Anolis sagrei: one gene and its partners. The main gene of each other region encodes a partner of the protein of the gene in region 3 in a complex. Links are inferred from orthologs where the notes say so. Each region holds a gene or a part of one and is shown on either strand. Other genes may lie near its edges.

The links.
Region 1: METTL3 (region 3) and WTAP share a complex: the UniProt entries of both Homo sapiens proteins name them as parts of the WMM complex. The link is inferred for Anolis sagrei from reciprocal best matches to the Homo sapiens genes METTL3 and WTAP.
Region 2: METTL3 (region 3) and RBM15 share a complex: the UniProt entries of both Homo sapiens proteins name them as parts of the WMM complex. The link is inferred for Anolis sagrei from reciprocal best matches to the Homo sapiens genes METTL3 and RBM15.
Region 4: METTL3 (region 3) and CBLL1 share a complex: the UniProt entries of both Homo sapiens proteins name them as parts of the WMM complex. The link is inferred for Anolis sagrei from reciprocal best matches to the Homo sapiens genes METTL3 and CBLL1.

The regions. Positions count from the first base shown.
Region 1 is NC_090021.1:68,271,160-68,278,894, reverse strand, and holds the start of WTAP (pre-mRNA-splicing regulator WTAP), read right to left. Parts: upstream 3,010-7,735; 5' UTR 2,764-3,009; intron 2,606-2,763; exon of another isoform or gene 2,336-2,605; intron 1-2,335. UniProt on the Homo sapiens protein: Associated component of the WMM complex, a complex that mediates N6-methyladenosine (m6A) methylation of RNAs, a modification that plays a role in the efficiency of mRNA splicing and RNA processing.
Region 2 is NC_090024.1:183,682,290-183,689,191, forward strand, and holds the start of RBM15 (RNA-binding protein 15), read right to left. Parts: upstream 3,015-6,902; 5' UTR 2,849-3,014; coding exon 1-2,848. UniProt on the Homo sapiens protein: RNA-binding protein that acts as a key regulator of N6-methyladenosine (m6A) methylation of RNAs, thereby regulating different processes, such as hematopoietic cell homeostasis, alternative splicing of mRNAs and X chromosome inactivation mediated by Xist RNA.
Region 3 is NC_090026.1:10,920,818-10,928,602, reverse strand, and holds the start of METTL3 (N6-adenosine-methyltransferase catalytic subunit), read right to left. Parts: upstream 3,003-7,785; 5' UTR 2,937-3,002; coding exon 2,843-2,936; intron 289-2,842; coding exon 86-288; intron 1-85. UniProt on the Homo sapiens protein: The METTL3-METTL14 heterodimer forms a N6-methyltransferase complex that methylates adenosine residues at the N(6) position of some RNAs and regulates various processes such as the circadian clock, differentiation of embryonic and hematopoietic stem cells, cortical neurogenesis, response to DNA damage, differentiation of T-cells and primary miRNA processing.
Region 4 is NC_090025.1:82,852,938-82,860,562, reverse strand, and holds the start of CBLL1 (E3 ubiquitin-protein ligase Hakai), read left to right. Parts: upstream 1-4,618; 5' UTR 4,619-4,694; coding exon 4,695-4,707; intron 4,708-7,625. UniProt on the Homo sapiens protein: E3 ubiquitin-protein ligase that mediates ubiquitination of several tyrosine-phosphorylated Src substrates, including CDH1, CTTN and DOK1. Targets CDH1 for endocytosis and degradation.

The DNA of each region.
Region 1 (7,735 bases), on a different chromosome or scaffold from region 3:
TATCCAACTGCATATGCAGAAATGAATACATCCTACTGCGATTCAGGGAAATCACATCCAAAGTTTTCCCAGTTCTTTAGAAAATGTTTTAAGGATGTTCAAGATGAGGGAGGGAAGAATGCTACAGTGGAATGGGAAATTAGATCCACTTCCAATTTTGTTAATAGAATCTGATTACTTGTCCACAAAAGGCCAGTAATATTTTTTATCTAAACACTATACTTTCAAAAGTCTTGTATTCAAGTAAAGACTGGTTATTCCTAAAAGAGATCTCTAAATTGCAGAATGTTGCTTGTGCGGTAGCTTTGTGGAAGCCTACCTTTGTTTATAGTAAATTAAAACCACCCTATATTACTCTACTTCTGTTTGGCATGTGAGGCAAGGCAACAACGAATAGAAGATTCTCTGAAGTAGATATATATGGTACATAAAAGAGAAGGGAAACCTTCTCTTTTAAGCAGCATCTTTCCTGGTTGTGGACAGGCACAACTGGATATAACTTTGAAAGCCTACTATCTCTGAATGCAAAAGTAGTCATTTAGTGCAGAAATAATATTTTATTAACCCCTTTTTATTACATTGACTAACAAAACTTGGTTGTCAGTGTTACATTGCTGATAAGTGAGCTAACTGAAGTGTATGTGGTCTCTACTTATCTGATGCTATTAAGCCACATATGTCAATCTCACAGGTCCAACGAACACTGCAACTTGTTGAGTGCAAAAATACTGTATTGAGACTAGACTGCTTTTTCAATATACTATTCTTATTTTTAAAAAAATCCATACCCAAAAATCTGATCTACGCTTAGCATCCCTCTCCAAGCAACACAACAATCCTAGGCATGGTGTCTTGGCAGTATTAAAATGCTACATTACATAAATGCATATTTGTTCATTCAGGTGTATCGTAAACTAATACCATTGGTCTGTATAGGTGCAGCATCAAGGCACAGGTAGTTCTATATATGAATGGCTGGACTTGTATTATATATTTGTATTAATATGTAAGCACTAGTCCTTTAATGTGAGTGCAAGCTGCCACAAGCATTACATTTAGGGCTGCCCACTGAAGAAATATTTTCAGTTATGGTAGGTAGAGACTTTAAACTGCAGGCTGCATGTCTTGTCAGATAAACATAGCATATACTAACCTGGAATCTGAAACATAATTTATCTGTAAATGTCAAGAAATGATCAGGGATTGTGTACACCTGATATTTGAAACGGCCTTGGACCATGATTTTTGGATTATGTGATTTTACCATTTATATTAATATGTTTTTAACTCCACATTTTAATGTTTAAATGTGGTTACATATTTATGACCAAATCAATAGTTACATGTTATTGTTGTTTTAGGTTAGGTTTCATATGTATGTGAGGCATTCAATTTTGCCATAAATAAGTTGGAAACCACTTTGAGTCCCTCCCTGGGGTGAGAAAGGCAGTATACAAGTCAAGTAAGTAAATAAATTACAATGAAAATTGCTTAGTCTGAAAGAAAGCCTAAAGACCACCCTGGGTTTCTTTAAATACTATTTTTATGCATTATTTGCTGGCAATGCAGCTATTACTATTTAGATATTAGACCAGGGCATGGGCAAACTTGGGCCCTCCGGGTGTTTTGTTGAAATTCAACCCCCACAATTCCTAACAGCCTCTGGCCCTTTCCTTTTTTCCCCTCAGTCGCGTAATCATAATATGAACACTGGATTTAGTATCCCAATAATAGCCTCCTGCTTGAAACTTGGTCGGGCAAAGGATGTCAGTGGGGGAAAGATTAAATGGGTCCCATCTTTAAATGAACGTCTGAACACAACCCAAGCTGTCATTTCCTTTCTGGCTAATAAAATACGGCCATTCGGGCCTTTGCCTGAGTAAGCACACAGCAAGATCACTATTTTAAAGAAAACTGGCAAACGAGGGTAACTCTTGATTCCCAGATAAGCCATCCACACGGCCTTTATTCGCAGAAGCATAAAACTCAGGCGCTGCGTGGGTCCAAATCGTGGCACCAAGAGATTCTCGCAAAAGGCTTGTTCGTATAGGCTTTTTTAAAGGTAACTGGCGTTCTTTGGATGTCGATGGCAAGGCCGAGGCGTAAGGCCCTTTCCCCTCCATCCCTATCGCGCTAGTAAACAAGCCTGTGTTTTGCGGGAAGCGGAAGAAACGCTTCCGGGCGTGGCGGCCTCGGGCCCTCCAAAGAGGAGGGTGGGCGACGCCGCAGGAGCGCCAGAGCAGAGCCCCCCCCCCCCCTCTCCCCAGCCTCCATCTTGCGAAACGGTCGTCTTTTCCTCCCTGAAGCGTCGGGCCTTCATTCCCCCCTTCCTCACCTCAGTGGAGGCGGCGCCGCGAAGGCGTCCTCGTCCTCACTCGTCGTCTCCCCCTCAACCGACTTCCCCTGAGGCAGGGTTTCTCTGTCGCATCAATGAGCCGGAAGCCTCGAGGCAAGGCTTCTTCTCACCCTCCCGGTTGGGGGGGGGAGGAAGAGGGGGGGCTGCAGCACCGCACGCGCTTCCCGCCCGTTCTTATATTTGGGGCTCCTCCGCTGCGCTACAAAATGGCGCCGGCGAGAGCGCAACGAGAGGAGCCGCCTCGCCCCTTCCGCGCCTCGTCCAATCAAAAAGCAGGAACCGCCGGCAGCCCTCAAAGCGGGCCTGGCCCCGCCCCTTCGCTCCCTCTGCCTGCGCGCGCTACTCCCCCCTCCCCTCCCCAGCCCCGCCCGCGCGCCGCCTCGCGCCACCTCCTCCTCCGCACTTACCGGCCCAGCCAGCCACCAACGGACGGGAGTCCTTCGTCTCGCGCTCTTCCAGGCCGCCGCCCTCCTCTCCCCTTCCCCCGCCCTGCGTCCTAACAGTGTTTGAGTCAAGGCCTTTGACTCCCTCTTGCGCTCGGCACTGAGAAGGGGAAGTAAATAAGATTTGCAGAGGGGGAGGGGGGAGCCCCGGGGGAAAGGCGTGATGCGCGCCTCTTGCTTCCCTCCTCGCGCCCGCCAGAGTGCGCACTCGCAAAGCATGCTGGGGCGCTGAGGGAAGCGGCGGAAGGATCCGCAACGGGCCATCTGGCCACCTGCAGGAGTAAACACCAGAAGCGCGGAGGGATATCAGTCCCGTCTGCCCTGGGAGGAATCTTTTGGCTGCCGGAGAAGGGCTGTTGCCTGGATTCATAGTGCATGCAGTACCGGGTTTAAAATCAGAACCATTGAGTTGGAAGAGACCTCGTGGGCCATTCGATCCAGGCCCCTGCCAAGAAGCAGGAAAATCACATTCAAAGCCTCTGTTTAAAAGCCTCCAAAGAAGGAGCCTCCACCATACTCAGACGCAGGGAGTTCCACTGCTGAACAGATCTCGCAATTAGGAAGTGCTTCCTAATGTTTAGGCCATAGCTGTTTGGAAGTGGCCCTAGTCTCTAGAGTAGAAGAAAATATGTGATATTCTTTCAAATATTTAAAAAATGATTATCAAGGATGCTTGCCATAGATGCAGGCGAAACCTCAGGAGAAAATGCCTCTAGAACATGGCCATAGAGCCCGGAAAAACCTACAACAACCCGATTATCAAGTATTTTCTTGGCCTTCTTTTCTTAAAGCATAACATACCCAACACCCTAAATTTCATAGGGCTTGATTTCCAAAGGCATTCTTAATCCATTCCTGATTACCTATGTAGTGCTCACAAAGTGGTGGTTTCTTGGTATTAACATTTTGTTCACATTGCTTTAACATTTTGCTTATAACCAAGGTGAAAGAACAAAGTGCAAAAGCTGGGTTGCAGTTAAACAAACAAAAAAAACCCCAAGATTATGGCTGATTGATAACAAGCAAACATGGAGGCAGTGACAGACTTTGTATTTCTAGGAGTGAAGATTACTGCAGACTGCAGCCAGGAAATCAGAAGATGTTTACTTCTTGGGAGGAGAGCAATGACCAATCTCGACATCACATTGGCAATGAAGATCCACATAGTTAAAGCAGTGGTATTCCACATAGTAACCTATGGGTGCAAGAGCTGGACCACAAGGAAAGCTGAGTGAAGGAAGATAGACGCTTTTGAACTGTGGTGTTGGAGGAAAATGCTGAGAGTGCCTTGGACAGCAAGATCAAACCAGTCCATATTCCAGGAAATAATGTCCTGCTGCTCACTGAAGGGAAGGATATTAGAGGCAAAGATGAAGGACATTGGGCACATAACGAGAAGACAGGAAAGCTTGGAGAAGAGTATGACTCTGGGGAAAATGGAAGGAAAGAGGAAGAGGGGCCGACCAAGGGTAAGGTGGATGGAGAGTATCCTTGAAGTGACTGGCTTGACCTTGAGGGAGCTGCGGGTGGCAACAGCTGACCCATGAAGTCACAAAGAGTTGGAAGCAACTGAATGAATAAGCAACAAAGTTCAGAAGTATTCCTGGTTGTAGATTTACTAACTACTCTAAATGTTTCACTTGATGACACAAGCACTTCACCTTAATTTGGCAGTTAATCATAATCTACAGAAGCGATGTAAGTTTATCATGACTACTATGCATTTATTTATGAGTAAATTTTTAATTATCTGTGGTCAATAATGTGGGAATTATCTCAGACTGAAGAAATAGAGCTCAAGGAGAGAAACAGTAGCTTGTCAAAAGCCTGTTTGCTCAGCAAACTAAATTTCACAACAGAAAGTACTGTTGAGGCAAGCCTGTCCTAACATGTTGCCGTTGCATTTAATCAACATTGAAAGAAAGAAGAGAAAGTGACAGCATGATTACCCACACACATTTCCTAATCAAAACTATTCTAATCTAATACCTTAGCAGCCTGAAAGCCAAAACCAAGGTTACAACATCTGTTATAGAACTCCAGTATGCTGATGACAACGTCATCTGTGCATTCAGAAGAAGATCTACAAGCCACTCTAAACACCTTCGCAGAAGCATACGAGAAGCTTGGCCTGTCATTGAACATCGAGAAAACCAAAGTGCTCTTCCAGCAGTTACTGGCCAATCCCTCTCCAATGCCAGAAATACAGCTTAATGGCGTAACATTAGAAAATGTTGACCATTTCTGCTACCTTGGCAGCTACCTCTCCACAAAAGTCAACATTGATACTGAAATACAACACTTTCCTGAGCTCTGCGAGTGCAGCATTTTTCCGAATGAAGCCTAGAGTGTTTGAGGACCAGGACATCCGTAGGGATACCAAGGGGCTTGTTTATAAAGCTATTGTCCTCCCAACCCTGCTATATGCCTGTGAGACATGGACTATCTACAGATATCACATGCAACTCCTGGAACAATTCCATCAGCATTGGCTCCGAAAAATCCTGCAAATCTCTTTGGAAGACAAGTGGACAAACGTCAGCGTGCTGGAAGAAGCAAAGACCACCAGCAATGAAGTGACAGTCCTCCACCATCAACTCCACTGGACCGGCCACACTGTCCGGATGCCCGACCACTGTCTCCCAAAGCAGTTGAACATCTCTCACAGTCAGGAAGTTCTTCCTTATGTTCAAGTGGAATCTCCTTTCCTGTCATTTCCTGCTCCTAGTCCTAGTTTCCAAGACAGCAGAAAACAAGCCAGCTCTCTCTTCTTTATGACATCTTTTCACTTATTTAAACATGGCAATAACGTCTTTTTTCAACATTCTCTTCTGCAGACCAAACATGCCCAGCAATTTAACTTGAGAGAGTTTCCATTTTAGACTGTGGCACTCAGAATACTCTTTCCAATGCCAGAATCATGAATGGCTATGCTAGCTTTATAATCCCAAGGATACCTCTTCAGCATTCGACACGTGAAGACTGAACACTGTAATAAAGCCAGAAGCCAGCTCAACCCCAGTGTCTACTGCGGCATCAATGACAGCAGGCACACTGTAGGGGGTTCATCTACCAAAATTATATATGGCAGCCTCCTAATATTTCTTTTCTGCATAGTGGGGATGAAGGGGCAGAGATCCAAAATACTCCTTAAATCCAAATCCGAAATGCAGGAGTCCCCTTTCCACTGGAGAGGGCTTGGAAGGACACCACGGAAGTTGGATCTTAAAACTGCAAAAAAGCTGTTTATTGTGTGGCCATACACCCCAGAGTCCCGTATGCACACATACGTGGCAAACTTTCAGTGCCATTTAGGCACAAAGCTATATAGACAGACACAGAAGCAGTTTAACATTCCAGCTTTCTGGCTTCATGAGGGTATGCTCGATTCTGGCCACAGCGGGGAGCTGCCGCTTCACCATCCACTTGTGACACTGAATCCTTTATGGAGTACTTCCTCATTCCTGCACATACTGCTGGAAGGTTTTATGGTGTTGTAAATTAGTTAAATTAGCCTCCCCGCATAAAACGGTACCTAAATTTCCTACTTGACATATGCAACTGTCTTTCGGATTGAAGAGTGGGTGGGCAGGGGACAGTTCCATCCTGTTGGTGACCCCTCCCCCAAGCACCAACTGCCGCTCTGGGCCAGAGTGAAGAGAGGGGGGCCCAGGGGACAGTTCCACCTTGTCTCTTATGCTATGCTAACCATATAATATAATGTAATATAATATAATGTAATATAATATATCTCCAGCAAAGGATCGTGGCGCTGGAGCTTGAGCACCTCAATGATGTCATGAGCGAAACCGTGAAGGGCCACCCAAGACGGGACGGTCAAAATGCTGCTGGGGAGGAGCAGAGGATAAGTTCAACTAGCCTCAGATGTGACGACGCAGCTAGCTCAAAGCCGAAAGGAAGGCTAGCGCCGACGGTACTGGAGGTGAACGACGAATCCGATGCGCTAAAGATCAGCACACCATAGGATCCTGGAATGTAAGATCTATGAGCCAGGGCAAATTGGATGTTGTTATTGGTGAGATGTCAAGACTAAAGATAGACATTTTGGGGGTCAGCGAACTGAAATGGACTGGAATGGGCCACTTCACATCAGATGACCACCAGATCTACTACTGTGGACAAGAGGAACACCGAAGAAATGGAGTAGCCTTCATAATTAATAAGAAATTAGCTAAAGCAGTGTTTGGATACAACCCAAAAAATGACAGAATGATCTCAATTCGAGTGCAAGGAAAGCCTTTCAACATTACATTGATCCAAATATACGCCCCAACCACAGCTGCTGAAGAAGCAGAAGTAGATCAGTTCTATGAGGATCTGCAGGACCTACTGGATAATACACCAAAAAGAGACATTATTTTCATTACAGGAGACTGGAATGCCAAGGTGGGAAGTCAAATGACAACTGGGATCACAGGCAAGCATGGTCTGGGAGAACAAAATGAAGCGGGGCGCAGGCTGATAGAATTTTGCCAGGAAAACTCGCTGTGTATAACGAATACTCTCTTCCAACAACCTAAAAGACGGCTTTATACATGGACCTCACCAGATAGTCAACACCGAAATCAGATTGATTACATCCTTTGTGTATAACGAATACTCTCTTCCAACAACCTAAAAGACGGCTTTATACATGGACCTCACCAGATGGTCAACACCGAAATCAGATTGATTACATCCTTTGCAGCCAAAGGTGGCGGACATCCATCCAGTCGGTGAAAACAAGACCTGGGGCTGACTGTAGCTCAGATCACGAACTTCTTATTCCTCAGTTTAGAATAAAACTAAAGAGAGCAGGGAAAATACACAGACCAGTTAGATATGATCTCACTAACATTCCTAGCGAATATACAGTGGAAGTGAAGAACAGATTTGAAGGACTAGATTTAGTAAACAGAGTCCCAGAAGAACTATG
Region 2 (6,902 bases), on a different chromosome or scaffold from region 3:
GCAAGACCCCGCTGTTTTCTTTGTCTTTGTTGCCTCCTACTGGGAGGCTTATCACTCCAGCTGCCTGTTTTTGTTTGAGATAGGACACCAGGTTTCTGAGTGGTCGCTGTGTGGAGGTGGTGTTAGCATCACCAGCCCCAGATGAGGCACGGTTGTCTGTGGTTCCAGGCACAGCCAGAAGAATAGCATATCCATTAGGCCCTGCCACTTTGATGCGACGAGTAACTTCATCCAATTTAGGCTGGTCCAGACGGAGTCGCTGGGTGATTTTTAGCTGGGCCACTTTGCCACCAGTTGCTCCTTCTACCAGGAGACTGCTGGCCACACTCAGATCTCCTTGAAGTAGGTGCATGTTAGACGGGAAGTTGCTGTTCTTCAACAAAAGCATTCCTTGCCAAGCCAGGCAGAGTTTGGGGGATGACCCAGACTTTGAGCCTCCATCCTGCTGTTGCTGCTTTTGAGGGGGAGGTTTCAAGCGTGATCCTCCGCCACTGCTCCCTTCAGAGACATGTTCATCTTTTTTAGCTGGGCTCTTGCACTCTTGAGCCGCAGCTACTGCGAGGGTGCGATGTTTTCGTTCCCTTTCTACCGAACTCTTGTGCTCACGCTTCTCATTTTGGCCTCTCTCCAAGCTACCCCTACGTGACTCTCTGATGGGTGAATGGCGATCCAGCAGGAGCAAACGGGAAGATGACCGTTCTGCATCACTCCCATAGCGGTCTCTGCCTATGCCAGGCTCAGGACTACGATCTTGTGGAGAAGCTGCAGTAGGGCAATGCCGTTTGCGGGAAGAAGATGACCGTTCGCTATCAGGCGAACGGTCCAAATGCCGTCCCCCATCCTCCACCAGTCTTCGCTTCCTGGGTGGGTCCCTGCTGCCACCGCCTAACTCCCTTTCCCCGCGAGTTCTCTCTAGAGACCAACCGTCTCGCCTGCGTTCCAGGCTCTCAAGTGCATCATAGACAGTTGCTCTGTTGCCCCGGTCTCGAACTGGAGGTGGGGGAGGAACCCACTCTGTTTCAGGATATAAATCTCTGTCACGGTCATACAGCAGTGGTGGGGTCCTATCCCGTGCACCTCGGAGTGGATCAGGTGGTGCACCACGATGCGCCCCAAAGGCAGATGTCTCTGCTACCAACTCATAATGGCCAGGGGGCGGAAGCGGCAAGGGCTGCAAATAGGGCTGCTGATAGTGATGCTCTGTGTCAGCAAAGTCCACCCTCAAACGGCGGTCCGGTCCACCCAAGGGGAAGCCACGCATGTGAGTACAAGCAGCCTGGGCAGCATCCAAACTCTCATACTGGATGTAGGCCCAGGAATCCCCTTTCCGATAGTCAATGGTGCGGATAGTACCAAAACGGTCAAATTCCCTGGCAAGGGCGGCTAGCGGCACCCAAGGCCCCAGCCCACCGACCCAGAGCCGCGTGGTGGGGGTGGCCTTGCCATAGCCAATTTTGATAGGATTACACAGCAGCACTTTGCCTGACATGGCGAGCTTAGCCCGATGGGCCATATCCAAATTTTCAAACTTGAGAAAGCCATAAGTACTCGTCTGTCCTCGGGACGGCCGCTTGATATCCACCTCCGTGATCACCCCAAAGCGATCAAAAGCCCTCTGGAGGTCCGACTCGGTCACCGAGATGTCCAGGTTGCCCAGGAAGAGTGTGCGGTTGGCCCGCTGGTCGTCTTCGGGGCTGATCTCCTCCTCGCTGGCCGTCCCTGTGCCGCCCACTCCGCGGAAGGCAGCCGCCGCAGCCACTCCAGCCACACGCTCCAGGCTGTAGGCGGGTCGGACCCGGTCGTAGAAGCCCCCATAGTCCCGCTCCCTCTCCAGCTCACGGGGCAGTGGCGGGGGAGGCAGGCGGCCCAGGGCCAGCTGCTGCAGCCGGAAGTCCCTGTAGCCCAGGCCGGCCCCTCCGCCGGCGGGAGAGAGGGCCCTCTGAGCGGCAGCCGGAGGGTGCCTGAGGGCGGCGGGAGCGGCGCCCGCTACGCCCACGCCCGCGGCTCCGTAAGGGGAGTCCTTATCTAGGATGGCTGGGGAGCGGCTGCTCCTTCGCCGCCCGCTTGCCCCGCTGCCCACATAGACGGCCTCAATCTTCAGGGGCCTGTCATAGAGGACCAGGCGGCCTCGGGCGTGCTTGGCGGCGCGGGCGTCCTCCGGGCGGCGGAAGTTGACGAAGGCCACCCTCTCGTCGGCAGCGCCTGTCCCGGGCGGGAGGCGGCTGATCTTGACACTCACATCCCCGAAGCGCTTGAACTCGTGGAAGAGCCCGTCCTCGATGGCCTCGTCGCTCAGCGCGTTGCCCAGCTCACTGATCTTGAGCGTCTTGTACTCACTGCCGCCGCCGGAGTCTGAAGGGGGCGCCCGGGAATCCCCTCCTCCTCCTCCGCCTCCTCCTCCGCCTCGGCTGCTGCTGCCCCGCGAGGACGACGACGACTCCGCGTTCTTGCTGCTGCTGTTGCTGTAGCCATGTCGGCCGCCGCCGCTCCCCGTCACCGCCTCGTACTCGCGGCTGCTGGCCCGGCTGGCCTTCTCCAAGTGGAGGCCCCGGCGGCTGCTGCTGCTGCTGCTCCCGCCCTCTCCAGAGCCACCGCCCGCCGACTTCCCGCCGCCGTTGCTCGGCTTCTTACTGCTCCGCTCGCCTCGCACGGAGGAGGAGGAGTCGTCGCCGCCACCGCCGCCGCTGCTGCTCCCTCCGCCCCGGGAGCGCTTGGCCTTGGCCGGGGAACGCTCCTTGCCCTTCATGGCGGCGGGCGCCAGCGAGAGGGAAGCGCGCGCCCAGTACCGCGCCTCACGCAGCCCCCGCCGCCATCTTGGAATCTCCTGCAGGCTCGGAACCCCGCCCATGCGGGCGCCATTGGGCCCTCTCCGCTCGCCTCGGCATCCTCATTGCACGAAGCGCCTGTCAATCTAAAGCGAGGCGGTGGTGGTGGTGGGGGGAGGAAGCACCAGGCGGTGCGATGCTCCGGAAGCGGAAAGCCCGCCTTTTCCTGTATCGGCCTTCCTTTTGTCGCTCGGAAAAGTTGGGTTGAGAGGAACGCTAACTCCGCCATCCCATAGACCCATTGCCTGGGTAACTAAATCCGTTTCTCCATTTGGGTTGGACAAGAGTGCTGTCAATCTTTCCTTATTTCTCTCACAGCCGTATCCGTAGCGTTCATTGGCTATTGGGTTTTGGTTTTTTAAAATTCCAGGGAGGGGTGGGAGGCTGAGGAGCTCGCGCAAGCAGCTTTAATTTGATTGGATGGTGGCCATGCCTATCGCAACCGTCCCAACGGGTGACTGGGATTGGGGTGCCGTGAGCTGATTGGACGGTGAGGTAATCTGGCGGAGGCTGAGGCGAGGCCTGCTTCCTTGGCCTTCTCCGGGGCACGAGAGGAGCGCGGCCTCGATTGACGTCACGCTGCTCTTCCAGGGGAGTTGAGGAAAGGGCCTTGGCGCGGGCGGACTGGGCGGCTGGCGGGAAGGGCCACAGCAGGCATTTGCAAAGCTGGGCCCTCCAAGTGTTTTGGACTTCAACTCCCAGAATTCCTGACAGCCTCAGGCCCCTTCCTTTTCCCCCTTCCGCTTAAGCGGCTGAGGGGGAAAAGGAAAGGACCTGAGGCTGTCAGGAATTCTGGGAGTTGAAGTCCAAAACACCTGGAGGGCCCAGCTTTGCCCATGCCTATGTTCCAGCCTCAGCCACACACCAGCATGAATCTATGAACCATATAAGGGTTCCTGAAGCCAAACCTTGGTTGCTCTCATTTTATAGCTGAGACACCATTTTACTACACCATTACACGAAATGGAGCTTGCCCACCCACAGATTTTGTTACCCCCGAGGGTCCTCGGCCCACGTCCCAGCAGACGCCAATGGGTTCACTGTTCTGGGAACAAGATTGGGCCTCGTGGCACCCAACAGCACCATTGTTAATACAGGAACTCAACTTTCCAATGACACTATTGCATCAACCGCTTCCAAGCTGGTCCCAGGAGGCCTCTGGAAAAAATTCACCACTATGCAACAGCATTTTTGTTCCTCTGTTATCAATGTTGTTTCCTAATTGGTCCTATCATAAAAACATGGTAAAGGTTTATTAACCTGCAAAAACTTTGTTTTTGTGGGACTTCGTGCAGCACATGTTGCAACAGTTTTTCAATTAATACCCCATAGGGCCCTTCCACAAAGCTCTATATTCCAGAATATCAAAGCAGAAAATCCCACAATATCTGCTTTGAACTGGCTTATCTCAGAGCTCTTCCACACAGCCCTATATCCCAGAATATCAAGGCAGAAAAGCCCACAATATCTGCGTTGCACTGGCTTGTCTGAAGGCTCTTCCACACAGCCCTATATCCCAGAATATCAAGGCAGAAAATCCCACAATATCTGCTTTGAACTGGCTTATCTGAGGGCCCTTCCACACAACCCTATATCCCAGAATATCAAGGCAGAAAAGCCCTCAGTATCTGCCTTGATCGGGTTATCTGAGTCCACACTCACATAATGTGGGATTTTCTGCCTTGATATTCTGGGATATAGGGCTGTGTGGAAGGGTCCATAGAGACTCAACAAATTCAACATAGTTTGTGGCAGCCACAGAAATGGAGTTTCTGGAGTATAACAACTACTTTCAAAGGAAGCACCACACAATTATACAGGAAACAACACTTTCAAAACAGTAATGATTCTCCCCTTATCTTATTATTGCATAGTGAGACTTGGATCTCGACATTATCATACACACAAATCTTTATTATGGTCATAGGCCAGCATGAGGAGAGGGTTACAGTCTCATAAAAGCATTGTACATCAAAATCTAAAAGTCTAGAAAACAGGTATGTTGAAGGCTGCAGCACAAAATTATCTAGAATAATAATAATAATATGATGATGATGATGATGGTGATAATAATAATAAATCTTTATATCCTGCTTTTCTCCCTCATGGGACCCAAAGCAACTTACAACATATTAAAATCATGTAAACAACAATCCAAATACACCAATGATAAGTATAAAATATTATAAAATAAAGAGTTTAAAACAACAATAATATGCATTCACATTCTTGTGGCATGTCATTATATTGCAGTTTGTTCCTGTCCATAAACATGGTGTTTCTTATTATTCCAGCTTAGTTTCCTAAACAAAAGGGGAAGGGTCTAGCATGGGATGGAGAGAGAGGAAAATTGATGGGAGGGGCCTAGGAACATTCAGGGCACAAGTCTAGGGGAGGAGGGCACTAATTTATATTTTAGTTAGCAGATGGTTAGATTGCTAACTTTTGGAGCCAGTCATTATATAGCAGATTTTAATTGCTGCTGCACAGAACTTTGCAACATTATGGGTTATAACTGAATTGGTATCTGAAAGCAGCAGGGTGGTGTAGAATTGTCTCCACAAGTATTACGAACATGTTGTGGAGGTAGGTAAATCTGTTGATTTATGAACAATTATGGGAATAATTTTGTGGACCTTAACAGCAGCCTATGCCACGGTGCAACATAGAAATATGTTGCATAAAATCTACCATATTACCTGGAACTTTGATTTCACAAAAACGATCCAGATCCTTCTAGAAAACTGCAGCGTCTTTGTGGAATTTCAAGGCAGGAAAAGTAGATGGGGGAGGCAAAAGAATGGTTCACTCCAAGGCAGCATTCTTGCACCAACCTTGTTTAACATCTTTACTAACGATCAGCCATAGCCACCACTTTCAAAGAGCTTTATATATGCTGATGACCTTGGCATAACAACACAAGCAAAAAAACTGAAACAGTCAGAAACCAACTTACTAATGCCTTGAAAGATCTCTCCAGCTATTATAATGATAAACACCTGGAGCCTAACTTTGCCAAGACACAATTGTGTGCTTTCCACCTACAGAACCACGAAGCTAGCAGGAAATTGAAAGTTACGCGGGAAGACCAAGAGGTCAAACACCGTTTCCATCCTAAATATCTTGGCATCATCTTAGATTGAACACTAACATTTAGGAAACACTACATGAACACCAAGCACAAAGCAGCCCCACACAATAACATCGTGTGGAAACTTACTGGCAGTGCATGGGGAACAGACCCAAAATTAATAAGAACATCAGTTCCGGCCTTGTCTTACTCAACTGAGTATGCCTGCCCTGCTTGCATAAGTCTGTTTATGTGAAGCAGATGAACATAGCACAGAATGAAACATGCAGAATAATCACAGGATGTCTCAAACCTACACTTGTTGATAAACTCTACAAGCTAGCTGGCATTGCCCCCCCTCCCCACTCAATGTGCAACGGGAAGTTGCTGCTAACTGTGAGAGAAATAAGGTTGAACACTTAAAGCCACCCACTGCATGGCTATCAGCCTCCTCCCAGTAGACTCAAATCAAGGAAAAGCTTCATAGGAACCACAACTCCTCTGTCACCCGCTACTAAGGAGGCTGTACAGGTCCTGAACCGGTGCTTGGCTGCTGTGACGGTCTGAATGAGAGCAAACAAATTGAAATTGAATCCAGACAAGACAGAGGTATTCCTGGTCAGCCGCAAGGCCGAACAGGGCATAGGGTTACAGCCTGTGTTGGATGTGGTTACACTCCCCCTGAAGATGCAGGTTCGCAGCTTGGGTGTGATCCTGGATTTATTGCTGAGCCTGGAACCTCAGGTTTCGGCAGTGACCAAGGGAGCATTTGCACAGTTAAAACTTGTGCGCCAGCTGCGCCCGTGCCGTGGGCAGTCTGACTTGGCCACGGTAGTCCATGCTCTGGTTACATCCTGTATAGACTACTGCAATGCTGTCTACATGGGGTTGCCTTTGAAGACGGTCCAGAAGTTTCAATGAGTCCAACAAACAGCAGCCAGATTGCTTACAGGAGCGGCGCTCAGGGAGTGTGATGGCACACCAGGAAGATCTAATGAGAAACCTAA
Region 3 (7,785 bases):
GGTCCTGCACCCCTAACCTCCACAAAAGGAGGCCTCAAGCAATGTTGCTGACAGGCCTCAAGCAATGTTGGTGCCTTGTTCTCACCGTTGAAATGGCAAGGCAGATGGACAAGGCATCTGTGGGCAACGCCAGTGCCAGATCCGAAAGGTGATGAAGGAGTTTCTTCTCAAGCTCAGGGTCTGTTACCAGATCCCCAGATTCAGTAGCAGTGCTGGGTGTGACAGACGAAGAGACCGGGCTGTCACTGCGGAAGGGAGGGCTGAGGGCCAGCTCTGGATTCCTGAGGTCTGGAAAGAGGATGGAAGAAGACACAATAGCACTGTCCATGCAAGAAACATTTTGTCATTTACTCCATTTCTGTTTCAACCTGCTGTCCTCACTTTATTCTTTCCTTGGCCTTCAGCCTTGTTTGACATTCAACCGGGCCAACTGGATTGGAATTCCCAGCAGCCTCATCCAACACCAGAGGCACTCCAAGTGGCCAGATACTGGTCAAAGGACATTTAATCAACTACCAAGCTTGCAAATTTTGTGTTTTGTCTGTTTGTTTGTTTTGTTCTGTTAGAAATGTAATACAATTGTCTGGTTGCCCCTGACACGATAAATAAATAAATCCAACACATACTATGGCTGAACTGGGAAGGACAGTCCAACAATACCCAGATGCCATGTGATTTCCATCCCTGGTACATTGTATTACCCATAGAAATCTTAGTCACATATTCCAAAATAAAAATGTGGAGGAAATCTGAGGTCATTTTTGGATTTAGAGCACCAAATGTATATCAAACTAGCACACAGTTTTATACAGTTTTTATGACCCTCAGTTTTGTTGGTTTCTCCAAACTTAGTGTACCTTCATCACCTTGTGAACTTATGCTGACTCCATGAATTTTATAGGGTCTTTTTTGTTAGCAGAGCATCCAAAAACACAAATAGAGTACTTATAATTGAGCATTCAGTTCACAGCTCACAGCAAGCAGAGCGTGAAGTGTTGTGGCCAGGAAAGAATTTAGAGTTTAGGAGGTAAGATGCAGAGTTCAATCTTTAAAGTTACAAAAGGTTTATTTACAAAAATGATAACTACATTTCTTAATAGTAAAGAACTCGTCTGAGCTACTCTCTAACTCCAACTGGATCTAGACACTAGACTCCTGCTGATGCAAGCCAAAATCCCATTGGCCTTTTTTGCCGCCGCATCACATTGTTGGCTCATGTTTAACTTGTTGTTCATGAGGACCCAAAGATCTGCAAGTCGCTTCTGGTGTGAGAGAATTGGCTGTCTGAGAGGATTTTGCCCAGATGTTTTACCATCCTGTGGGAGGCTTCTCTCATGTCTGACTTGGCCACTGTAGTCCGCTGTGGTTACATCCCGTATAAACTACTGCAACGCTCTCTACGTGGGGTTGCCTCTGAAGACTACTCGGAAGCTTAAAATGGTCCAACTGTCGGCAGCCAGGATGCTAACAGGAGCGGCTCTCAGGGAGCATACCATTTCTCTGTTGCGCCAGCTCCACTGACTGCCAATTTGCTACCGGGCACAATTCAAAGTGCTGGCTTTAGCCTTTAAAGCCCTAAACGGTTCTGGCCCGACCTATCTGTCCGAATGCATCTCCTCCTATGAACCAGTTAGGACGTTAAGATCGTCTGGGGAGGCCCTGCTCTCGATCCCGCTGGTTTCACAAGCACACCTGGCGGGGACGAGAGACAGGGCCTTCTCAGTAGTGGCCCCCCGGCTGTGGAACGCCCTTCCTACAGACATTAGATCGGCCCCCTCCTTATTGACATTCAGGAAGAGAGTGAAGACCTGGCTCTTCGAACAAGCTTTCAACTAAGCAGTGCAATTGATTGATTTCTGGAATATGGATTAATGGACAACGAGATCGGATGCTGATTCTATCGATGAGACGTGATGGATTGTTGTTTTCCTGTATTGTTGTATTGATGTTCTGATGTTAATTAATTGATTTAATTGTTTTAAATGATTAATGATTTTGTACTGTGTTGTTGATACTGGTTGTTAACCGCTCTGAGTCACCTGATGGCTGAGAAGAGCGGTATACAAGTGAAGCAAATAAATAAATAAATAAATGTCCCTGCACGAGAAGCTGGAGCTGACAGACAGGAACTCACCCTGCTCCCTGGATTCGGACTGCCGACCTTTCGGTCAGCAGAACTACATGGGAGTTGTAGTTTTGCAAGGCCTTCTGTGGCAAAGAGTGCTGGTGCCTCACCAAACTACAGCTCCCAAGATTACATATTATAGAGCCAAGGCAGAGAAAGTGGGGTCAAACTGCATTCATTCTACAGTGATTAACTGATGTCCAAAGCCCTGGAAAGCTAGAGGAGATTCCATCTGAACATGAGGAAGAACTTCCTGACTGTGAGAGTCGTTCAGCAGTGGAACTCTCTGCCCCGGAGTGTGGTGGAGGCTCCTTCTTTGGAAGCTTTTAAACAGAGGCTGGATGGGTTGTTGTAGGTTTTTCCGGGCTATATGGCCATGTTCTGGAGGCAATTTTTCTCCTGACGTTTCGCCTGCATCTATGGCAAGCATCCTCAGAGGTAGTGAGGTTGAGAGAGGTAGAGAGGCTGGATGGCCATCTGTCAGGGGTGATTTGAATGCAATAGTCCTGCTTCTTGGCTGAATGGGGTTGGATTGGATGGCCCAGGAGGTCTCTTCCAACTCTTTGATTCTATGATTCTCTCCATTTTACCTTCACCCCCTTTTCACACATACAAGCCCATAAATGGCCTTTGCTTTCCCATTCAAACCACCACAAAACCATTCCGGCCTTCATTATTATTATTATTATTATTATTATTGCTATTATTATATTTTACCCAGGGGTTCTTGCTTCCGCCTCCGCTGCAGCCGCTCCCGCAGCGAGTCCAGCTGCTTCTTGTGAGCCTGGATCGAGCTCCATGTGTCTGACATCTCCCCGGCCAGTACATCAGCCAGAAAGGCGTCTCAAATAGGCAACCGGAAGTCTCTCCCTGGGGGACGGAGGGACGGAGATAATGTGAGCACACTTCCGGTTTGAAGCTCTTTAGGGACAGAGCGGTCGCTAAGACAAAGGGGAAGTGGATGTTCAAGCCGGAGCGATGCTCAAGCAGCCATTTTGGAAATGGGCACATTTTCCCTCTTTCTTGTTCCCGCCTGCCTTTGCATCATCTGCTTCACATATTTATTATTTTTATTATTATTTATTTATTATTTGCATTTATTGACCGCCCCTCTCAGCCCGAGGGCGACATATGAGATGCATGGTTTTGAATAGGGTTTTCTGAGACGAGGTGGCTTTGGCAGTTGTTTCCTATGAAATATAGCCTACTGTGGTATCTCAATCCTTCTAGGCTTGCCTTCAAGTTACACCCTTTTTAATTTTATTATTATTAATATTAATATTAATATATTATTTCAGTGGGACAATGAATTCTACGAACAGAAAGATGGAGTAGCTATGGGGAGCCCTCTCAGCCCGGTCATAGCTAACTTCTATATGGAACACTTTGAAAAACAAGCCCTGGAGGCAGCAACCAAAAAGCCCACGATATGGTTCAGATATGTGGATGACACCTTCACCATTTGGAGCCACGGAGAAGAAGAACTCAACAGGTTCCTGGACCATCTTAACAGCATCCACCCAAACATCCAGTTCACTGTGGAAAAAGAAAAGGAAGGAAGACTGCCTTTTCTAGATGTCCTAGTCATCCGTAAACCAGATCAACAATTGGGTCACACCGTTTACAGAAAACCCACACACACAGATATCTACATAAAAACTCCAACCATCACCCAAGTCAAAAAAGAAGCACCATTAAAGCCTTGGCAGACCGTGCAAAAAGAATCTGCGAATCCCACCTCCTCCAAGATGAACTGAACCACCTCAACTGGGCTCTCCAGGCCAATGGAGACTCCACCTCAGACATCAGAAGAGCTGCAAGACCAAGAACAAGCCACGAGAGTCAAGATGAAGATCCACCCAGAGGAAAAGTGTTTCTGCCATACATCAAGGGAACCACTGATCGCATAGGGAAGCTGATGAGGAAACACAACATACAAACAATCTACAAACCCACCAAGAAAATCCAACAAATGCTACGTTCAGCAAAGGACAAGAGGGATCCTCTCATCTCTGCAGGAGTCTACCGTATACCATTCAGCTGTGGACAAGTCTACATAGGGACCACCAAACGCAGCGCCCAGACACGCATCAAGGAACATGAAAGGCACTGCAGACTCCTTCAACCAGAGAAGTCAGCCATAGCAGAGCACCTGATGAACCAGACTGGACACAGCATTTTATTTGAGAACACAGAAATGCTGGACCACACCAACAACCACAATGTCAGACCACACAGAGAAGCCATTGAAATCCACAAGCATGTGGACAATTTCAACAGAAAGGAAGAGACCATGAAAATGAACAAAATCTGGCTACCAGTATTAAAAAACTCTAAAATTACAACAGCAAAACAGCAGAGAGGAAACAACCAGGCACATCTTAACACCTCTCAACAAAAGATTCTCCTAGGCTCAGCCAGGCCTTCAAATGCTAATGAAGGTGGTCAGTTGAAACATTCACACCTAGCTCCAGCAGGGAAGAGCTCTTTGCCCCACCCCAGCCATTCCACAGATATATAAACCCATTGTCCTAATTCCAACAGACCTCACTACCTCTGAGGATGCTTGCCATAGATGCAGGCGAAATGTCAGGAGAAATGCCTCTAGAACATGGCCCTATAGCCTGAAAAAACCCACAAGAACCTAAACAATACATCAATTACGCAATAAAAACCAGGGCCGGGCCAGTGATGGGTACAGGTTAAAAAAGTGCTGGGTGTGGCAGGTGGTATTTTGGATTTCCGGGCAAGTGCAATGTGCAGAGAGTCCTAAACTCTAATAAAGTGCTTCTGGGACGTAGTGCTGGAGATTATCCTATTCCGGAAAGGCACATCGGAATAGCCAGGTCTTCAGATTCTTCCTGAAGACTGCCAACGTGGGTGCTAGTCTAATGTCTTTGGGGAGGGTGTTCCAGAGTCGGGGGGCCATCACAGAGAAGGCCCTGTCCCTCGTACCCACCAAACTCGCCTGTGACGCAGGTGGGATCGTAAGCAGGGCCTCTCCGGATGAACAAAGGGATTGTGTGGGTTCATACACGGAGATGCGGTCACGCAGGCAGGCAGGTCCCAAACCGTTTAGGGCTTTGTAGGTAAGCACCTGCACCTTGAATTGGGTTCGGTAGGTAAACGGCAGCCAATGGAGCTCCTTAAACAGAAGGGTTGACCTCTCTCTGTAAGGAGCGCCCGTTAACATCCTGGCCGCCACCCGTTGAACCAGTTGGAATTTCCGAGCCGTTTTCAAGAGCAGCCCCACATAGAGCGCATTACAGTAATCCAATCTGAATTTGAAATTTGAAAGGGTTTTTCATAGAATTATAGATTTGAAATAGATTATTACTTACTTAGGCCACTGTTTCTCAACCTGGGGATCGGGACCCTTCGGGGGGGTCGCAAGGGTCCCCAAAGACTATCAGAAAACACAGTATTTTCTGTTAGTCATGGGGGTTCTTGTGTGGGAAGTTTGGGCCAATTTTATCGTTGGTGGGGTTCGGAATGCTCTTTGATTGTAGGTGAACTATAAATCCCAGCAACTGCAATTCTTAAATGTCAAGGTCTATTTTCCCCAAACTCTACCAGTGTTCATATTTGGGCATTGTGCTGGTACAGCTGTACCAGGAGCTCCAACTTTATTTTCTTTCTGTTATCTGTTTGCAGTCATAGGGCAGGCCGCCTGTCCATCATAATTAAGCTTTGGTTCCGCCCCTTGTTCAGGACTCTGGGAGGGAAAGGAGCCATTTTTTTTTGGCAGTCTCACATAAGGAAGCTAAACTATAGGATGTAGACCAGCTCGTCCCGTAGAAAAGCTTCTTTTCTCAAGAACATCCGGGGAAACATAAACAGATATTCCAGGGAAAAGGTCCCAAGGCTCTGGCTGAGAGCTCATAGCCTCTCAGCCTCACAGCAATCAGAGGGAAAACAACCCTGAGGTTTTAAAAGAATTCTCTGAGGGAGGATAGAACTACAGATCCATGGAACTCCATCTGAAATGACTACAAGCCTCGGCTGGTAGGTCTACTCGATACCCAGACACATTTGGAATTGGTAGTAGGACCCACACCAATGAGGCATAGATAGTAAACAGCCTGGGAGAGGTTAAATAGGGTTTTTTTTCCTACAGAGAAAGTACAGTTAATTAAAGTCAGGTACCAGTCCATTGAGGACTAGACTAAGAAAGACTTGAAGTGTTGTTTGAACCATTGAAGATTTGTTGTTTGTTCCATAATAAAGACTTTGTTTTATCATTAAAGACTCTAAAGACCATTAGTTCAGAAAAATCCCTGAGAACCTCTCTTTGAGGCTTCCTGTTGGGCTTAAAGTATACGTCCTATAGAAAAGACAGCTGTTACAGGCCCAGCACGTGACAGAACAGGCATATTGAGGATTTGTGCCAAGTTTGGTCCAGATCCGTCATTGTTTGAGTCCACAGTGCTCTCTGGATGTAGGTGAACTACAACTCCAAAAACTCAAGGTCAATGCTCACCAAACCCTTCCAATACTTTCTGTTGATCATGGAAGTTCTGCAAGCCAAGTTTGGTTCAATTCCACTGTTGGTGGAGTTCAGAATGCTCTTTGATTGTAGGTAAACTATAAATCCCAGCAACTACAACTCCTAAGTGACAATTCCCCTGCCAACCCCACCAGTATTCAGATTAGGGAATATTGAGTATTTCTGCCAAGTTAGGTCCAGATACATCATTGTTTGAGTCCATCCAAATGACAAAATCACCCCCCCCCCCCCCGTCACCCTACCAGTATTCGAATTTGGGCCAAATGTGGTCTAGTGAATGAAAATACATCCTGCATATCAGATGTTTACATTACAATTCATAACAGTAGCAACATTACAAATATGAAAGTAGCAATAATGTTATGGTTGCGGGGCCAACCAAGGGCAAGATGTATGGATGGCATCCTTGAAGTACTGGATTGAGCTTGAAGGACCTGGGGGCAGTGACGACCGACAGGGAACTCTGGCGTGGGCTGGTCCATGAAGTCACGAAGAGTCGGAAACGACTGACCGAATGAACAACAAACACAGTTTTAGCTATCTTGGTGCCACTTTAACAGCTATGCCTCAGAAAACTACAACTCCCATGATTCTATACATTGAGCCATGGCAGTTAAAGCGGAACCAAACAATTTGGCTACTCCGTTGCTTCACTAACATGACTTCTATTTTGGGCAGCCAGAAATGATGGTCACCTTTCCAAAGGGTTCTCAAGGACTCTTTTGGTCATTGTCTCAAAGCTTAGAACAACCCGGAAAACTCACAGCAACCCTTAGAACTTTATCTTGCATCCTCACGGCATTGAAATCTCAGGGCGTAGGATAACCCCAAATATCTCTGTACAGTGTGGCGTAAAATTTAAAAAGATTTATTTTAATTCTTTGTAGGGCTTTTTCTTGTTTCAGGAGTTTCCCATTAATAGCTCTGTTCAACTTGCACAAAATCCGAGAACCCAATTTCTTGGCAGTTTTAGGGGTGGGAAAACGGAAACAACAACAAAAACGCTTTTTTGCACTGTGCTGGACATGGTTATTTCAGCCAGCACTAATTTCCAAGCAAATATTGCGAGTGTGCATATAAAGTATTTCATATATAACATGTATAGAAATAGTAAATGACAATCCCATTCTTGTCTCTGACACCATCTCCTAGT
Region 4 (7,625 bases), on a different chromosome or scaffold from region 3:
ACCCCTGCCCTAAAGATCCTGTCTGATCTTGGAAGCTAAGCAGGGTCAGCCCTGGTTAACACTTGGATGGGAAACAGCCAATGCAATCCAGATGCTATAGGTTGTGATTCAGAGGAAGGAACTGACAAAAATAGGCCTCTTTGCATTCCTTGCCTAATAAAACCCTGTGAAATGAATGGGGCCACCATAAGGCCATATATCCTGTGCTTGTCCTTAGCAGATCTAGTTATCCCATGCAAGGCACCACCAATTACCTCGGTATGTGTCCTGCCCTTGAAAGTACAGGGTTAAAAAGAACCAGGTGCATTCGCGTGGCATCCGCCGCTATGCATCTCTTGTATCTCTATGGTGAAACTACCAGTGGCTTTGCATTGGGAACCACAGATAGAACGAGATCGCTTGGGGATCGGAAGTAGGAAGTTGACACTCACATTCCTACCTCTATCTCTCTTCGTCCATCTCGGCCGAAGCGGAGTGCGACGCATAGACTTAGTATAGATAAACCCATCAGCTCATGACTTCCGGGCTTAATTGAATAGGTACAACTCCTAGGACTCTTAAGTACATTGAGCCATGGCAGTTAAAGCGACGTCGAATTGCAATCATTCTACAGTGTAGCTGCAACTTAGGAAACTAAAGAAATAATAAATCTGGTGCACGTTAGGAAATAAAAAAAATATAATAAATCAGATGCACCTTAAGAAATAAATAATAATATAATTAATAATAATATATAATATTGTTTCTATCTTTTCTATTAAAATAATAATAATATATAATATTATTATCTATATAAATAAAAATGGAATGTGGGCACCACAATTCAAGAGAGATATTGACAAGCTGGAATGTGTCCAGAGGAGGGCGACTAAAATGATCAAGGGTCTGGAGAACAAGCCCTATGAGGAGCGGTTTAAGGAGCTGGGCATGTTTAGCCTGAAGAAGAGAAGGCTGAGAGGAGATATGATAGCCATGTATAAATTTGTGAGAGGAAGCCACAGGGAGGAGGGAGCAAGCTTGTTTTCTGCTGCCCTGGAGATTAGGACGCAAAACAATGGCTTCAAATGACAAGAAAGGAGATTCCATCTGAACATGAGGATGAACTTCTTGACTGTGAGAGCCGTTCAGCAGTGGAACTCTCTGCTCCGGAGTGTGGTGGAGGCTCCTTCTTTGGAAGCTTTTAAACAGAGGCTGGATGGCCATCTGTCAGGGGTGATTTGAATGCAATATTCCTGCTTCTTGGCAGGGGGTTGGACTGGATGGCCCAGGAGGTCTCTTCCAACTCTTTGATTCTATGATTCTATGTTTGTTTATGGGATTAACATAACTCAAAAACCACTGGACAAATTGACACCAGATTTGGACACAAGACACCGATCAGGCCAACAAGAACAAGCCCTATGAGGAGCGGCTTAGGGAACTGGGCATGTTTAGCCTGAAGAAGAGAAGGCTGAGAGGAGATATGATAGCCATGTATAAATATGTGAGAGGAAGCCACAGGGAGGAGGGAGCAAGCTTGTTTTCTGCTTCCTTGGAGACTAGGACGTGGAACAATGGCTTCAAACTACAAGAGAGGAGATTCCATCTGAACATGAGGAAGAACTTCCTGACTGTGAGAGCCGTTCAGCAGTGGAACTCTCTGCCCCGGAGGGTGGTGGAGGCTCCTTCTTTGGAAGCTTTTAAGCAGAGGCTGGATGGCCATCTGTCAGGGGTGATTTGAATGCAATATTCCTGCTTCTTGGCAGGGGGTTGGACTGGATGGCCCATGAGGTCCCTTCCAACTCTTTGATTCTATGATTCTATGTTTGTTTATGGGATTAACATAACTCAAAAACCACTGGATGAATTGACACCAGATTTGGACACAAGACACCGATCAGGCCAACGAGAGACCATCACTCAGAAAAACAATGAAAAACATAACAGAAGGGACTTAAAAAGTAAAAATAAAATAAAATACATGACAACTTCTATATATACGCAAACATACATATATACACAAATATATACACACTCAAAGCACATATACAGAGACTGGGCCACAGCAACGCATGGCAGGGAATGGCTAGTTTATATAAATAAAAATGTAATGTTCAGTTCTTGTGGGTTTTTTCGGGCTATATGGCCATGTTCTAGAGGCATTTCTCCTGACGTTTCGCCTGCATCTATGGCAAGCTTCCTCAGAGGTGAGGAATGTTCGTTTGTGGGATTAGCATAACTCAAAAACCACTGGATGAATTGACACCAAATTTGGACACAATACACCTCTCAGGCCAACAAGTGACCATCACTCATAAAAACACTGAAAAACACAGTGGAAGAGACTTAAAAAGCCAAAACAACAACGACAACATTACAATGCATGCACAAAACCACATGTATACAAATATACACATACATACACACACAAAACACATATACACAGAGTGGGCCATAGCAATGTGTGGCAGGGGATGGCTAGTGTATTATAAAAAAGTAAATAAGACTTGAGTGTGCCTTTATCACGGGGGGGGGGGGGGGAGTCTCTTTTTCTAATGTTGAATCCAACACCTTATGTGTTCAAGAAAACTTAGGAAGGATAAAATTGTTAATTAACAATAAGCTGTTTATTAGAATATGTATTCATTCATTCAAGCTATTGTGAAGGAATCAAGAATTGTTGCTTAAGTCTTATAAGATCTACACTCCTAAGTTTTTTTAAATAATTATGCCAATTACTTTCAAATAATATAAAGTAGTTTTTACTTTAAAAAATCTTCAAACATCTGAACTATATATATATAATTAAAGGCTTGATAAATTTAAAAAAGAGATAAATAAGAATAAACCAGATGCACCGTGTTGTTTATTCGTTCAGTTGCTTCTGACTCTTCGTGACCTCATGGACCAGCCTACACCAGAGCTCCCTGACAGCCGTCACCACCCCCAGCTCCTTCAAGGTCAAGCCAGTCACTTCAAGGATACCATCCATCCATCTTGCCCTTGGTCAGCCCCTCTTCCTTTTTCTTTCCATTTTCTCCAGCATCATTGTCTTCTCTAAGCTTTCCTGTCTTCTTATTATGTGGCTAAATACTTCATCTTGGCCTCTAATATCCTTCCCTCCAGTGAGCAGTCGGGCTTTATTTCCTGAAGTATGGATAGGTTGGATCTTCTCCCGGTCCGAGGCACTCTCAGAAATTTCCTCAAACACGACAGTTCAAAAGCATCTATCTTCCTTCGCCCCGCCTTCCCTATGGTCCAGTTCTCACATCCATATGTTATTATGGGGAATACCATTGCTTTAACTACGCGGATCTTGGTTGCCAGTGTGATGTCTCTGCGCGACCGCATCTCTGTCTACGAACCCAAGTGCAGCAAGTGTAGTTACTGGGATGTATAGTTCACCTACAATCAAAGAGCATTCTGAACTCCACCAATAATGGAATTGAACCAAATATGGCACACAGAACTCCCACGACAAACAGAAAATATATATCAATGATTGGTTGGGGGGGGGGGGGCACCAAAATACTGTTTGCTTACTGTTGAAAATTACCTAGGGCCGCCTCTGGCCGTATGCCTTTCCCAATCTTGCACCATAGGAAGGAAAAAAAATACACGTCTTTCCTTACTGCCTTTCCCTTTAAAACAGTGTTTCTCAACCTTTCTAATGGCGCGACCCCTTAGTACAGTTCTTCAGGTTGTGGTGACCCCCAACCATAAAATTATTTTTGTTGCTACTTCAGAACTGTAATTTTGCTACTGTTATGAACCTTAATGTAAATATCTAATATGCAAGATGTAATTTGGCACAAATACACCAAAATTTGAATACTTGTGGGGCTGGGGTGTGTGTGATTTTGTCATTTGTCTGCCTCATGTTTTTAAAATGTGTCGTTTTGCTTTTTTGAGTTATTTATTGTTTTGCTGTTGTTGTTTTATGGTGTTATTGGGCTTGGCCTCTTGTAAGCCACACCGAGTCCTGCGGGAGATGGTAGCAGGGTTTAAGAACAATAAATAAAAATAAATAATAAATTTAGGAGTTGTAGTTGCTGGGATTTATAGTTCACTTCAATCAAAGAGCATTCTGAATTCCACCAGCACTCTCATGACCAACAGAAAATGCTAGAAGGGTTTGGTGGGCACTGACCTTGAGTTTTGGAGTTGTAGTATACTTACATCCAGAGAGCACTGTGGACTCAAACAGATGGATCTGGACCAAACTTGGCACGAATACTCAATATGCCCAAATATGAACATTGGTGGATTTTGGAGAAAACAGACCTTGACATTTGGGAGTTGTAGTTGCTGGGATTTATAGTTCATCTACAATCAAAGAGCATTCTGAATTGATGGAATTGGGACAAACTTCCCACACAGAACCCCCATGACCAACAGAAAAAACTGTGTTTTCTGATGGCCTTTGCTTACCCCTCTGACACCACCTCCCAGGTTGAGAAATGCTGCTTTAAAACAAGTCATTCTTCGTGCACCACAACCTGGAAGTTTCACTCCTTACTAAAATCCATAGCCAGAGTTCAATTTCTTCCCAGAGGAGAAAAAAAAACTGCCTGAAGAAACCCGCTAGTGTCCTCTGCCGCTGGGAATCTATATTTTTGCCTGTCTCTATGTTCGCGCCCCTCGCGCGCTCTTTCCGGCCCCGCCCACCCGCTCGCGCCAGGACACTTCCCGTCCAGAGTGCCCTGCCTCGAATCATGGACCACAATGGTGAGCGCTTGGCGGGCGTTGGAAAGGAGGGAAGGCCCCTTTTTCGGAAGACCCGACGCATTCCCCCGCTTTCGCCCCAGCCTCTCTCCCTCTCTCGTCGTCCACAAGCCGCCCAATTTGAGCGGGAGGGAGGCCTGAGGGAGCGGCGAGGCCTTTAGAAGCGTTGAGGCCTTGTTTGAAAAGAGCGGCCGGCGGGGGGGGGGGGGGGGGGGAGGTGTGAAGGAGGCTGCGCAGGCGCACTTGGGCCTTCGTGACTTGAGGCCTAGCGCGCTTTGAGGGGATTTGGGTTTTCCCATGATAAGGAGAAGAGGCTCAATTTGAGCGGGACGAGGCCTTCAGAGAATAGCAAAGTCCGCGCTAGGCCTCTTCCTCCTTGCCGTGTCTGCCTTTCCTTACCCCACTGCTTCTTTTTGCCTCCCTCTTCTGCCCTGGGAGTTCTAAGTTTTACCAGGCATTTCGCCTTCTCTGCCACTTAGGCAGAAAAAAAAATATTGTGTCAGGAGCAAACCGAACAGTTGTATTTCATTTTTTATTTGCTTGCTTGCATGCTGCAAGTCGCTTCTGGTTGCATCTGTGGCAAGAGAAGTCTACGAAGACGTTGCTCAGGGGACGCCCGGATGTCTTGCAATCCTGCGAGGAGGCTTCTCTCATGTCCCATGTCATGTCTCTCATGTCTCATGTCAGCAAGCGAGAGTCCAAAAGTGGCAGGCTCAAACCTAGCACCTCAATCCGTGGGTGACTCCCTTCTGGGCACACAGAACACTGGGCGACTTGGAAGGTGCTGAACAGACTGTGCTCTGGCACCATGAGATGCAGAATACTATAATATAAATGGGTTCCTGAATCATCATCATCATCATCACTTTATTTCTTAATTAGTCGCTCTCCACCAAGGTGCTCCGATCGACTTACAATTTAAAACAGTTTATACACAATATAAAACATTCAATATAAAAACATTCAATATAAAAACATTCAACATAAAAACATTCAACATAAAAACATTCAGCAGTGACTATGGCAAAATTTGATCCGGTTACTTAAATGCACAGCCAAACAGCCAAGTATTGAGCGCCTTTGCAAAAGGTTGCAACTCCGACATTGCTCTAATATATGGAGGCAATGAGTTCCACAGAATTGGAGCATTGATCGAAAAAGCTCTACGCCTTGTAGCTTCCAAATGTGCCTCCCTAGGAGCCGGTATGTATAGGAGATTTTCCTGGGTGGATCGAGGTGGCCGCTGATGGGGAAAAGGAAAGATTGAATGCATACAACAAAAATACCACTTGTATAACATAAACAATAATATAATTCAACAACAGTATATAAACATGCTGCACTGTTAACCTCACAGCGACAACAAACAACATGGTGCAGATTTTTAGTACAGTCATATCTTCTTATAAGTAGCTTGTGGATCAGCCGTCCACGATCGGTTTCGGCCTACCTCAGGCCTTCCTCTGGTGGACTCAAATTAATGTACAAATCAATGTTTTACTCCAGTAGCATACATATAGAACATCTGTATCATTAAATATCATAAGTTACAACACATTTAAGTACTTACAAAGTTATACACTATAACTTATGATTCTATGAGTGCTAGTGCCTCAGCATACAACAAGTCCCTTTATTTATCGTGTCAGAAGCAAATTGGGAATACAGTTATAATGCATAAAATACTACAAGCAGTTAAGTATTTGAATGTGTCTGGTGTCGCTGAAAGGAGGTCCTCTAATGTGGTACGGTCCAAGGTCTTTCGCCTTCTCTGTCAAAAGGTGCTGGTGCCTAACCAAACTACAAATCTCAGGTTTTACAACAGCACCCTTAGTTTGCAAAAGTTTATTCATGGATCAGTATTCAAAGGGATCTAGTAGCACCTTTGAGATTAACTGAGAAAAAAAGTTGGTAGCATAAACATTTATAAACTGAAGTCTACAAAAGCTTATGCTTCTGACATCTTTCTTTCAGTCTCTTAAGGTGCTGCAAGATCTTTGTGTCTAATCTTACCAGTACGAGAGATGATTGATTGTTGTTGTGTGCCTTCAGTTCGTTTCCACCCTGAGTTAACCCTATCACCTGGTTTTCTTGGCAAGCTAAGAGGAGGTGTGCCATTGCCTTCCTCAGGCTGAGAGAGTGGGAATTCACCAAATTCACCAGTGAGTTTCCAGGCTGAATGGGGATTTGATCCTTGATCTCCAGACACTCAAAACACTGCTTCAAGCTGGACCATAGCAGGAATTAAAAGTTCAATGTTGGGGGTCACAACAATTTGGCAGCAGTAAATGAATGCCACCTAGTTGCACAAATTTGTCTTGTGGTGAAAACAAGGATTGATGATAGTTTCAGTTGAGATACCTTTCCCCTTCATAATTCTTTTAGAAGTAAATTTCCCTTCTGAGGGGAAGGTTTTTTTCACTTCCTGTTCTCTTAACTATGAGTTGTTTGTAAATTGAACGTTAGCAACCAGGGGACTGCCTGTACACATGAGTCTCTGTATTAAAATATTTAATTGAAATAGCTTCCTTCACTAGAATACATTTATGGTTTCTGTTGACTAAGTGGTTTAGTAGCAACACTTGCGTCTGGGAATTTCCTGTGAGACAAGTATTCTACCATAATTGGAGACAAACCCATTTTAAGAATGTACACAAAATAAAGGTCTGACAGCATCTACAGTGTAGATTGAATACAGTTTGACACCACTTTAACCGCCATGACTCAATGTGATGGAATCATTGGAGCTGGAATTTTACAAGATATTTAGCCTTTTGTGTCAGTAAGTGCTGTGCCTCTCCAGACTATAAGTCCCAGGATTCCTTAGCATCCAGCGATGGCAATTAAAGTGGTGGCAAACTGCAATAATTCCACAGTGTAGATGAACTCAAAGTGTGCTTATTTGTTAGAACACAAACAAA